Linked DNA regions of Canis lupus familiaris. The protein of the gene in region 2 binds, or shares a complex with, the protein of the main gene of each other region. Links are inferred from orthologs where the notes say so. Each region holds a gene or a part of one and is shown on either strand. Other genes may lie near its edges.

Region 1 (6,436 bases), on a different chromosome or scaffold from region 2:
CTTAGGGCATGATTTTCTACTTTGATGTGAGAAAAATGCCATTTCTCTCAAGATTACTTATTCCTTCTTTAAATTTCTAAGATCCAATCCATTTACCAGTTCATCATTTATGACTTCGATCTAATCATATGAGCAATCCTAATCTTATGTGAATATTCCTATATATTCACCTAATTGTGTTAAATTGATAATCTGGTATTATTTCAAATTTTATCAATAACTCATTTTATCACCTACCTAAATTCTCTCCTTCTTGATTATAAATATATTTAGCATAATTAATTGCTTTAATTCTTAGAAGATTACTTTTTCATATGTATTTTCTGCAGAAAGCATCCAGAAGTAGCTATTGACATCTCCCTATATTGAATTAAGTCCTTCTAGGGTGGGATAGACAGGGAGCAGATATCATCTCACCTTGAAAATAGATTTGACATGAGTATAATTGCACGGAATATCTAATTTTTCAAGTAATCTGTGAGTTTTTTCTAGGTTAATTTTTCCACCTTTAAATTCATCCCGAATCATTGACAAAAACCATGTATAAAGCACAAAAAAAGAAGTTAAGGAAATTCTCACAGAAAATCATGAAGTACTTAAAATGCCTAAAGAAGTATTTTATTTCTCTTCAGTTTAACGTTTTTATTTTATTCTTAAAGGATAGCCTATCTTGTGCTTAAGTAACAACATAATTCTATGATAAATAATATTTAAAGCAAAACTAAATAGGTACTATTCCGTATTAAAAGTATGAAAGAATTCCAGGAAAAGAATAAAAATAAACATTTGAGAAATCAAGTTATTTGGGAAATGTAGTCTGTTTCCTGAAGAAATGGGCCTGGGGTCAGCTGGGCTTCCAGATCTCCCTGTCTCTTGACCTCTCTCAGCTTCACTTCCTTTGTCTGAAAAGTGGGCAAATTAATACTTAGGAAGTTGGGGGCATTAAATGAGCTCTTAACATACTAGTATACCCAGTTTCTGCTATTCTGCTACTAAGTGTTCAATAAATAATAACCATGTCTGGTATAATTATTATCATCATGACATCAGTTAAATGTCAAGCTATGCACATGCCAAAAAAAAAGTGCAACATTTTAAGTACCATCAAAAATGGTTAAAAATGCCATGCTGAGTGTATGTTTGGTATGAAGTGAAAACTGAAATAAGCGAGCTTACTTCTTGTATACAGATAAACTATAAAAATTAGGACACTTCAATTTGAAAAACTACAGTTGAGAATTGATATGACAGTTTATAAAATCATGAAAGGTATAGGTAAAGAATGTTCAAAATCCCACTCAAATTCAGATCGTTAAAACAAAAAGCCCTTAAATATAATGGCTATGATTTAATATGGCAAAGCTCATGTTCTTATAAGAAAAACACAGGAAGCTTAGAAAAGCTTAGGATGGATGGAAGGAAGCAGTTTATACTTAAATGAGAGAGGCTTAACTTCAGAACTCTTCAAAAAGAATGAGAGGGGAATCAAGCAAAGGGGATAAATCAATAAAAAGAAGAGGAAAGAGGAAGAGAAAGGACTTCTGAGTGGATATTTGTTCTCCATGTTTTCATGACCTGCTCCGTTTCTCCTTGCTTAGAAGTCTCTCCCCATTACGTGTTGTCATGGGTTCCAAATATAGTTAAATCTGCCCTTTTGTTGTAAAGGAATTTCTTTATATTCATCAGCTGTTGCCTCTGCCCTTTTTCTAGAGAGAAAGCAGAAAATACAGAGTGGTTTGTGACTGTGTTCTTTGGAGATCGCTCACACTTCAATCCCACAGAAACCATACGCAAGGCTGGTCCCTGCACTTCACTGCCCTTGAACATCTCTAGCTTCTTGTTACATTTTGCCCATCTTCAAACCCTCCATGTTTATAAATGCACCATCCTCTGCTCTTTGGAATTTGTCTATCAACTGCCATCATATCTTGTTTTATTTTTACTATTTTGTTGACTCACCTCCCGCCGAAATTTTTCAACATAATGTGCTTCCAGTGGGTTTGGGGCAACTACCCTGAGGGCCTGAGAATAAATCAATGCCACTGTGTTCCCCACGGTGAAAGGGCTGCCAAACAGTTTCTAGAAACTCTGGGCTGCTTCTATAGATCCCTGGCAACATATAATGCACACAGAGACACACCACTTTTGAAGAAAGCTGTTCAGGAGGTTAAGTTCTTAAAATCTTCAAAATATGTATAGCTGTTGGCTGGGTACCACGCTGTCAGGTGACTGTCATGTTTTTCTTTGGATCTGAGCACCCATTGTGATATCATCGAAAGTTCCATGCTTCATAGAGCAAGCTTCTTTATGACTTCATCAGGAGACTCAGAGCTTGCCAGACAGCCTGTTTTCATGGTTAGACATAGTAATCTTAAGCTTGAATGTTTAACACCTTGATGGGAAAGGTGTCTCATGGAATGTTTTCTCATCCTTTGAACACTCTTAATTTCAGAAGCCTTGCTTCTGCTGCAACCAAACATGTCACTTAGTGTTCTGAGTAGGAAAGAGAAAGAAAGAGTAATTCGCAGACTGTTAATACAAGCTCCTCCAGGGGAATTTGTAAATGCTTTTGATGATCTCTGTCTGCTTATCCGTGATGAAAAACTCATGCACCATCAAGGTGAGTGTGCAGGCCACCAACACTGCCAAAAATACTCTGTACCACTCTGCATCGATGGAAATCCAGTACTCTTATCTCACCACAACGTAGTGGGTGACTACCGATTTTTTGACTATCAAAGCAAACTTTCTTTCAAATTCGACCTGCTTCAAAACCAGCTAAGAGACATCCAAAGTCACGGTATCATTCGGAATGAGACAGAATACCTGAGAAATGTTGTTCTGTGCGCCTTAAAACTGTATGTGAATGACCACTATCCAACAGGAAATTGCAACGTGCTGAGAAAATCGGTGAAAAATAAGGAGTTCTTGATAGCCTGCATTGAGGATCACAGCTATGAAACAAGAGATTGCTGGAATGGCCTTTGGAAATCTAAGTGGATTTTCCAAATAAATCCATTTCTAACCCAAGTAACAGGAAGAATTTTTGTGCAAGCTCATTTCTTCAGGGCTGTCAACCTTCATATTGAAATCTCCAAGGACCTGAAAGAAAGCTTGGAAGTAGTTAACCAAGCTCAACTGGCTTTAAATTTTGCAAGGCTTGTGGAAGAGCAAGAGAATATATTTCAAGCTGCAGTCTTAGAAGAATTACAGGAGTTATCGAACGAAGCCCTGAGAAAAATTCTACGAAGAGATCTTCCAGTGACCCGCACTCTTATTGACTGGCAAAGGATACTCTCTGACTTGAATCTGGTGATGTATCCTAAATTAGGATATGTCATTTATTCAAGAAGTGTGTTATGCAACTGGATAATATAAAGGATTGCTCCTGGTAATTGTCTTGACCTGATGTAGTTGTGTTTCTGGGAGGGGTGTTGGGATTTTCCTAAAGTTGAAAAGCCACTGGAGATGCCTATCATATGACAAATGCAAATTTAAATTAGGGAAAGGTGTAACAAATAATTTTACTCAGGGAATATTAACCAATAAGGGAAGAAAAGGATGATTTAAATGTGTTTCATGGTAGTAACCATCATAAAGCCAGAGATGTTTATTAGAACCTAAAACAACTTGATAGAATGTGGCACTCAGAAGTATTATAAAGGTGGCTAGGGTATGTATGTGGGGTGTGTGTGTGTGTGTGTGTGTGTTTGTAGGAAGGACCTTTGACTTTCATTGTACCTGGAGAAGGTATGCAGATGAAAGTCACTCTGCAAGTGATACTTCATATAATTCAATTGAGTCCTACCCCAACCCAGAGATAGTGGATTTCACCAAGTGATGTTAGTGTTGGATTTTCCATGAAACCAAAAGATATCAAAAATCTACCTCAGATGAAGAACTATTAGTAAACTTGAATCCACTGCCATCATACCTTTCCCTGTCCTCCAAGAATTGCAATTATTCAAATCTCTGGGCTTTTCTGATAACTAACATGGTCTTTGAAAAATCAACTCAAAAAGCCTGACCTCTCAAGCTTATATAGTCAGGATCTTGTGAAATCATCACTATAAACATTTATGAGTGTTTATTTCATGCCAGGCCCTGTGCTAAGTGATTTGCACATAATTTTTCATGATTAGGCTGGCACTAGTAGTAACTTCATTTTGTGTGAGAAAAAAAATCTAAGATTTCAAGTTGTTTAATTCATCTAGGCACATAGTAAGTGACAAGTGTGTCTGACTCTGCTTTTAACCTCTAGAGTAGGACTGCTCTCCATGGAGGCTTGTTTCATTAAGAATTGTGAACTCTACAGTGATTTAGGCAAGTATTTCACCCAAAAGACACTTCCATAGGAACTGAAATGGGTGGACTGCTGTTTTCTAGCCAAGACTACTATTCACTTACCTTATCACTATTCCTAGCAAGGTTACTGACCACTTGCCTCTGGTCTCAAATTCCAAATCTAAACCTCTCCAATAAGATTGCGATAGAGCAGTAGATAGGCCCCATCCCCTTATTCTGATTACTGGTAGGCAAAATACTCTGTATTTTGGATCCATGCTGTTGAGAAAATATCTTATTCTGCCTTAGAAACATTGGAGCAGACAATATTGGAATTCCTAAATCTCAAACCTTTCTACCTCAACTGGTGGTTCTTGGAGAATCTCAGGAGAATTACCTAGAACATATCTTTAAAAATACAACTTCCCAGTACCCATCTTCAGATTCGGATTTTGTAGGTTCAGAAATCTCTATTTTAGGCAATTATCAGAGATTACTCTGTTGCAAGGGATCCCAGGACCAAATTCTAAGAAATATTGGTCCAGTTATAAAGTGACATATCTTATGCTTTCTATTTACTTAATTAAAATCATTCCTTATAAAACTACTGTCAAATGAAGGTCATGTCTGCTACTTTACTGGATTCACCATGCACAGACTAACGACATACCTTCATCTGTTATAAAAGTTAAGGAAAACCTTTCTAAAGAAAAGTAGCAAAGACAATTGCTCTCATTGTACTAAAATATACCTATCTGACAGATTATTTAGCAAAAATTTAAATTGATATTATGGTTATATATGTAAGTGTTGATTTGCCAGAACATTCCAGAATAGGACTTAATGGTTTATGGAACAATCACAGAAGCATTTAGCTCCCCCTGAAACATGGGGTTTTTAAAATAATATTTATTTGTATGTCTTGATATAAAAAGTCACATGTATAAATCATAAAAAATGCTTGCGGTATAAAGCATTTTGGCCTTTCCTCCGCCCCCCCCCCATTTAATTTTACAGAATTGTTTTAAATATTAAGAATTTATGACATATAAAAAATTTTATCCAGTTCTTTTTCTATAATGTCCTATATCATAAATATAGTCCCATGTCATTAAAATTCCTTGAGCACATAATTTTAATTATTTACATGATATTCATACTGTTCATGCACCATAACAAGACAACTATTTCTCTATTCATACATAATTTAAATTTTTAGCATTTTATATATGTTATTAATTGGGCCATTGTGAACATTTCTATGCATAAAGCTATGCCACGTTGTGGATTATGTCCCTTAAGATAAATTCTCTAAAATTGCATATTGAAAAGATATGAACATATTAATGATTTCAATACATATTGCCAAGTTGCTTTCCAGAAAAATTTAACAATTTATAATCCCATCATAAGAGAATATCTAGCTCACATCAAATGTTTTCTTTGATAGGCAACAGACCTTAAAAGAATATAAATGAATTAAAAAGGTGTTCACTAACTTATGGTATATTATACCAAAAACTGCCCTACACTGATTTTATTTGGTAGTGATTTTCTTTGTGTGGAGCTGGCATAGCCAGAAAAATTTACTACTACTCCTCTCTGTACCTTTATCACACATGTATACACACACACAAACACACAAATATACTAAAACCTATACTTAAACCCTATACTTAAACCTACTCTCTAGCAGTATACATATATACACACACATGACCAGGCATATACACACATAGACAAAAAATGCTTCAGATCCTGAGGACTCAATGCATCATTTTTTAATATTCCAGTGTTTTCTCCTCCCCATCCCTCCCAACTGGAATATAAGCTCCTTAAGAATGGGGACCTTGTCTATCTCAAGGGTCTGGCCCATTACTGACTGTTATTTGGTAGTCACTCAATGAATGAATGAATGAATAAACAAATGAATAAGGGTAACAAAAACATGAAACATGCTAAGTTTAGTTGGCCTTAAGATTTTGTAAGACATCAATTCTTGCTGTCCCTTTAGGAACTGAATATTCCTTTGCAGACTTCCCCCAAGCTGATGTTTGACCCTTCCTTCTAAGGCAAGTGATTGCATTCTGAAGCTGCCATTGGCTGCCTACGACTCTGATGAAAACTTTTGCTCGTCTCCAACAAGTTTAAG
Region 2 (5,926 bases):
ACATCTCAGGCTTCCAATGGCCCCTGAGCAGGTCCTCCCAGGGTCTTCCTCACCTCAACACACAGTGGCTCCCGCCTTCCGGCTGCCCAGGCCTGAAGCCTTGGGGTCACCCTCCACCACTGAGTCCCCACCCCCGGGACATGTGCGGCTGCTGGCCCTGCTCTCAGGAGGGACCTCCAGTCCGACAACTGCTCGCCATCTCCACTCAGGTCTCTGGTCTGGACGAGGCCCAAATCTATTTTTCACCTAACTTCCATCCGAAGCTGGCAAAGGGACATGATTATAAAACATTCATCTGGTCTCTCTGAAAAGTCAGTATTAATGAAATCTCTGTGATTCACACCCAGTTCCGTTTTGGAACACGTGGTGTGTGTCAGTTCTGGTAACCCCCGGTGACTCTGCTGCATCCTTCACGGCCTGGCGCCACCTGCCCTGCTGCACCTCTGACCTCACCCCCGCTCCGGCCTCCCAGCCAAGCTGGAGCCCCACCGGCTTGGCTCCCACGGGGACCTGACACCCCGACGGTGCGTTACCCGGCTGTCTCATCTCCACGTCTCAGCTCACGTATTACCACTCACAGACGTGCCTTCCCTGACCTTCCGCCCCGCCTCTCCTTCCGACTCACCTTCCCAGGTCCCTATCATTTTGGCATTGCCAGCGACCTGGTGTCCTCACTGGGATGGAAGCCCCACAGAAGAGGGACTTGGACTCGGGGCCAACACGTACAGTGCACGCTTACAGAGAGGTCCCCATGCATTCGCTCAAAGAATGGATCCTCTTATTTCCAGATTGTATGTGAGAAAACAAAAGACCAGACATAACAAGTAATCTGTCAAAACGGCAGTGCTGGTTCGGAGCTGAGGTCGGCTGACTCCACGCATCTCTCCCTACTTCCCCCTCTCAGACCCTGCCCCTGGCCCCCAAAAGAACATTAAGCTGAATCTTTAAGACTCAGCCCAGGTTCAGTGGTCTCTAAATAAACCTAAAGCAGACTGCATTCCTCCACCATTCTCCGAGGCACTGACTACAGCAATCCACCACAGAAATGGTGGCTAGTTTAGGGATTCCTGATCTTTCTTAATAGGAAGAACTCCTAGACACCCTTAAAAACCTAGCTCGGACATCACTTCCTTCAGGAAATTATCCTGGAGCTTCCCCAGCCTCTTCCATGCTACCCTCAAATTCTGAATAAGCTTGGCCCTGGCGGCATGCATCACAGCACACGGCATCCCGCCACTAAGTGCATCCCTGTGCATCCCCCGATCTAGAATAGTGATCGCTCAGGGCAGGGACTAATGACTACCTCATTGTCCAAGCCCTCAGCATGGTGATGGAAGACAAAGAAAGTCGTGTATGTAGTGGACCAAGCTTCATTCCGACGTCCCTGACCCACATAGGCCCTCCTCGTGCTCCAGATCCCCACCTTATGCACACCCTACACCCTGCAAACTTCGCAGGACTTCCTGCCACTACCGTGTGGTAACGACAGCCTTCTCCTGTTAGACTGGAAGCTCTGCCAGGGCAGGGGCCCTTTGTTCCATGCCGAGTCTCCAACGCTTCTACTGGAGGCACTCCACAAACGTCTACTGCTGGACTGGACGGAAGGAAGGATGGGAGGAAGGGAAGTGGGGAGGGAGATAGGGAGGACAGACAGACAGAAGGACGGCCGGACTTCAGTGGTCCCAGGCGACAGGGACTGCGCCTGGCCCCGGCCTGGCAGCTCACCTGTACGAGTCCCCATCTCTGTTGTAGTCACACAAAAGGTAATCCTTTCCCACCACCTTGTCTCTGGCGATTTTCAGGGGCTGGTCAACAGAAGACAGGAGATCTTCACACAGACTGGGGACCTGGCGCGAAGGAAGGAAAAGGCAGAGCCAGGGGTTAAAACAACACGTCGAATCCAGGTTGGCTAATGGCAACCGGAGCCACATCATGGTCAGCACATTTAACATCTGGCCCTTGGTACTCTGCCAGAATCATGGGCCTGTTCTTTTCTTTTCCACATGTGTCTGACACCAACTGTGTCCCTCCATAAAGAAACCTGTTCTTGAATTACAGCGGAGCGTGATTTCCAACACAGCCTTCCTTCCAAATCTGCGTGCAGCTTTAATTACCTGGTCGCCAGGGTGGTCTGGTACGTTTAAGTACGTATGTGCTTGGTATTGGTCTCTGGTGGGCAAAGTACAAGCTCATGTCCTGAGAAGAAGGTAAACATTTGAAATACATAGGAATCCAAAGAACTCTGAGAATAACCCGACCGTGCTCGAGAACTCCCACCGGCTCCCGTGCGGGGTGGAGTTTCCAATACTTTCCAGGCCCCTGGCCAAGCATTACCAGGTTGGCTCGCAGAGTCAACCCTACCTGCTGCAAAGGTGCTTCACACTAGCTTCGCGCAGAGCCGAGCTCCAGCGGGCTTATCTCGGACCCACACGGAGCCGCGTCACTGAGGAGGAGGGCCCCGGGGCCTGGCCAGGCGGGGCGGATTCCCAGCGCAAATCCTGCCCAACCGGACACAGGGCCCCACCAGCAACCAGGCCGCCTCCTCCTAATTCAAACATCCATTTCCACCAAAATATTCCAGGAAGGGATGGCAGCACTTTCAGAAACGGATTCCTTCGGGCTTGAGTCACTTCCACGCTATATTTTCAATGTGCTGACTTATTCGTTTCATGGCCCTGGGTTTACGGAGGCCCCACCATATCGTTTACCAGGATGGTGGCTGCCAACTGCACCAACAGCCCTTCCAAATGGAAAAGTTAAGTCATGTGGCAAAGATACCCAGAAGAGCCGCTCGGCGGGGGGGCAGACCACCGGCTGGAAGACCCCGACCGCCTCCAGGAAGGTGAGGACATGGGGACCGCCCCCTCGGAGACCACCCAGCCTCCGGGGGCTGCTTTCTTTGGGCCCCTCTGCCAGCCCCCCAGGTGCTTCGGAGCAGCTCACACGGCCCTGGCTGCCACAACTGGAAGATGGTCACCTCGTCTCGCATAAACTCTGGCCTCAGTGAAACCATCGGTTTCCTCTACATGGACCACTGCCGGTCCTCTAGCCTGTGAGAGATGTCCACACCACTAACCTCCGGCGCAATCTGCAACGGCCACCCGTGTCCTCCACACCCCCCCCCCCCCCACAGCTATTTCTGTCTTTTGTGATTTTATTTTTTAAGTAATCTCTACACTGAAGATGGGGCTCAAACTTACAACCCTAGATCGAGAGTCACACGTGCTACCGACTGAGCCAGCTAAGGGCCCCAAATGAGGCTATTTTCAAGGTTAGTTTTCGTGATGAGAATATCAAACCCCGGGCAGCCCGGGTGGCTCAGCAGTTTAGCGCCGACTTCAGCCCAGGGCCTGATCCTGGAGACCCGGGATTGAGTCCCATGTCAGGCTTCCGGCATGGAGCCTGCTTCTCCCTCTGCCTGTGTCTCTGCCCCCCTCTCTCTCTCTCTCTGTGTGTGTGTCTCTCATGCATAAATAAATAAAATCTTAAAACACACACACACACACACACACACACATCAAACCCCTAGCACATCCAAGTGTCTGCCAGGTACCAGGGATTAGGCGAGGCCTTTACATATACTTGGCAGACTGCACTTGAGAGCTCACTCTCCTCCTGTAAAGCAGGCAGCTTCATGCCCATTACAGACATCTGTCTGTAAAGACTAGACAGTTGAGGACCAGAGTCCTTAAGCTGCCCAAGGCTTACACAGGAAGCAAGCAGGGGAGGCTGAAATCTCCCCCTCTGACTAACTCTGATTCAACAGACAACTGAGAGCAGGGACAGTGCATGCCAAAGGCACACTGTGGCAGCAAGTAACCCCCTCCCATCCAAGGCGGCAAATAACCTCCCTGCTCAACAACCAACGGCCACAGAGCCTGGAAAGAAGTCCTGGCCAAGGCAAGGAACAGCTTCCATCCAAGGCAGCTGGGATTGGAAAATCGCTTGCTTTCCTGCGGATGGTCCTGAGCACCTATGTGGCAGCTGGTCACCACAAGCCCTTTGCACCACCGTTTGTTCTGTTGAGTGTTGCCTTAGCTTCCCTGTTGGGCCCTGACTTCTGCTTCAAACCCCATTTGAAATGGTTGGGGCCCGATTCATCCTGGACTGTGGCAGAGGCTAAGCAAACAGGCTCTGAAGTGTGACTTCCTGACTCTACCACTTACCACCCTTAGGACCCTGGGCAAGTCATTTTCACTTCTCTATGAAGACCTGATTTCCTTATCTGTAATGTGGGGATAGCAAAACCTATTCACCGTGATTTGGGGTATCACAAAAGACCTGCATTGGGCATTCAGTCCAGTGCCCAACGAGGGGGAGGGCACACACGCTAGCATCGAACACCCACATGCCACCCTCCCTCCTCTGTACTCAGCATTGTCTGCTGTACGTGCTTCTTTGAGGGCAACGTCAAACTGGGTCCCACCTGAATTCACCACACTGCTTCAGGCACTGCATAAAAACAGACCTTTGAGCATCCGGTTCTGATCCCCAGTTCTGCCTGGAGCCAAGCTGTCTCCCCTTCCCCACCGGCCCCCCACATAGGAAAGCTTACAAGATAACGGGATTCAGTATAAAATAGGCTCAGCTGCACCACTGATCAAAAGGTTAATCCACGAATTACAAGTATTTCAGTAATTTCTTGCTAACACGTCTACTGATTTATTTGTTGTCTGTCTCCCCTCCTTAGAATGCAGACTTTGCCAGGGTGGGGACTTCACCTTGTTCAGGCCTGTACTCCCAGCACCTATGGCAGCCGTGCTTGGTGATAGTGAGGGCCGGGTGTATTTGGATGGGAGGGAGGAATTTTACCACATGGAGCCTCCAGAACACCTACTGGCTTTGTTTTGAAGTTAATAAATTGGTGTGCAGTAAGGATCTTTATCAAGAGTTTGCCGTCAAGAACTGAACTCTGATGGACACAAGGACCCGCTTCACTTTGTAGTTCCAACCAGACATTCCCCAAATATGAATCGCGAGGTAGTGGGAAAGCCCTAGACAAAGAGAGCTGGCATTTTAATTAAAGTCCTACATTTTTATTACCATGTGACCCCGAGCAGCACAGCAATGGTGGCCAGACTGGGAACTAAGAGACTGGGTTCTAGCCTTTGCTCTGGTGTTCATGTGTCCAATGCACTGGATAAGCTCTGCTGGAGACCGGCTGCTGCTGGTCTGTAATAAGAACGTCACTGTTGGAGTGCCTGGGTGGCTCAATGGTTGACCGTCTACCTTGGCTCAGGTTGTGATCCCAGGATTCTGGGATTGAGTCCCACATCAGGTGTCTCTCTCTGCTTCTTTCTTGTCTCTCATTTATGAATAAGCAAATTAAAAATCTTAACAAAAACAAAAAACCATCACTGCTGTGGTGAAAATACTTCAGGTAAAGAGAGACTATAATCAAAATGACAAAATTCTTCATGTAGTTAAACATGTTCATCTTTTATTTGGAGACTGCCTTTTGGGGGGCAGGGTATCAAGATGCCCTTAGTTTTATGAAATAATAGGTTTACTTGGTTTTTTATTTAAAAACTGACAACCAGGGCTATCTGGGAGGTTCCGTTGGTTAAGCACCTGCCTTCAGCTCAGGTCATGATCCGAGGGTCCTGGGTTTGAGCCCTGCATTGGGCTCCCTGCCCAATGGGGAGTCTGCTTCTCTCTCTCCCTCTGCCCTTGCTTGTGCTCTCAAATAAATAAAATCTTTAAAAAAATTGACAACCTAATGATCTACTCTTCTTCTGTTTTTCTTTCTCCACCAGCCCCCATCTCGCCTTTAAAAAAAATGTTTCTGGCCTGTGAAATACAACAATGTGGCAGCCACTGGTCTAGAAAATGGGATCCAGCCCTCCCCGCCTGTCCAAATAGATCAGGGTAACTTCCAAGGTCAGTGTAAAGAACCGGAAGGGACTCTACTCCTCCCATTTCGTAA

What was found.
Region 1: CAPZB (region 2) and CAPZA3 share a complex: the UniProt entries of both Homo sapiens proteins name them as parts of the WASH complex. The link is inferred for Canis lupus familiaris from reciprocal best matches to the Homo sapiens genes CAPZB and CAPZA3.

What each region holds. Positions count from the first base shown.
Region 1 is NC_049248.1:17,793,644-17,800,079, forward strand, and holds the start of CAPZA3 (F-actin-capping protein subunit alpha-3), read left to right. Parts: upstream 1-2,306; 5' UTR 2,307-2,478; coding exon 2,479-3,378; 3' UTR 3,379-3,391; intron 3,392-6,436. Other genes in the region: PLCZ1 (1-phosphatidylinositol 4,5-bisphosphate phosphodiesterase zeta-1), read right to left, coding at 418-541, 1,554-1,564. UniProt on the Homo sapiens protein: F-actin-capping proteins bind in a Ca(2+)-independent manner to the fast growing ends of actin filaments (barbed end) thereby blocking the exchange of subunits at these ends.
Region 2 is NC_049223.1:78,731,757-78,737,682, reverse strand, and holds part of CAPZB (F-actin-capping protein subunit beta), read right to left. Parts: intron 5,334-5,926; exon of another isoform or gene 5,021-5,333; intron 1,848-5,020; coding exon 1,726-1,847; intron 1-1,725. UniProt on the Homo sapiens protein: F-actin-capping proteins bind in a Ca(2+)-independent manner to the fast growing ends of actin filaments (barbed end) thereby blocking the exchange of subunits at these ends.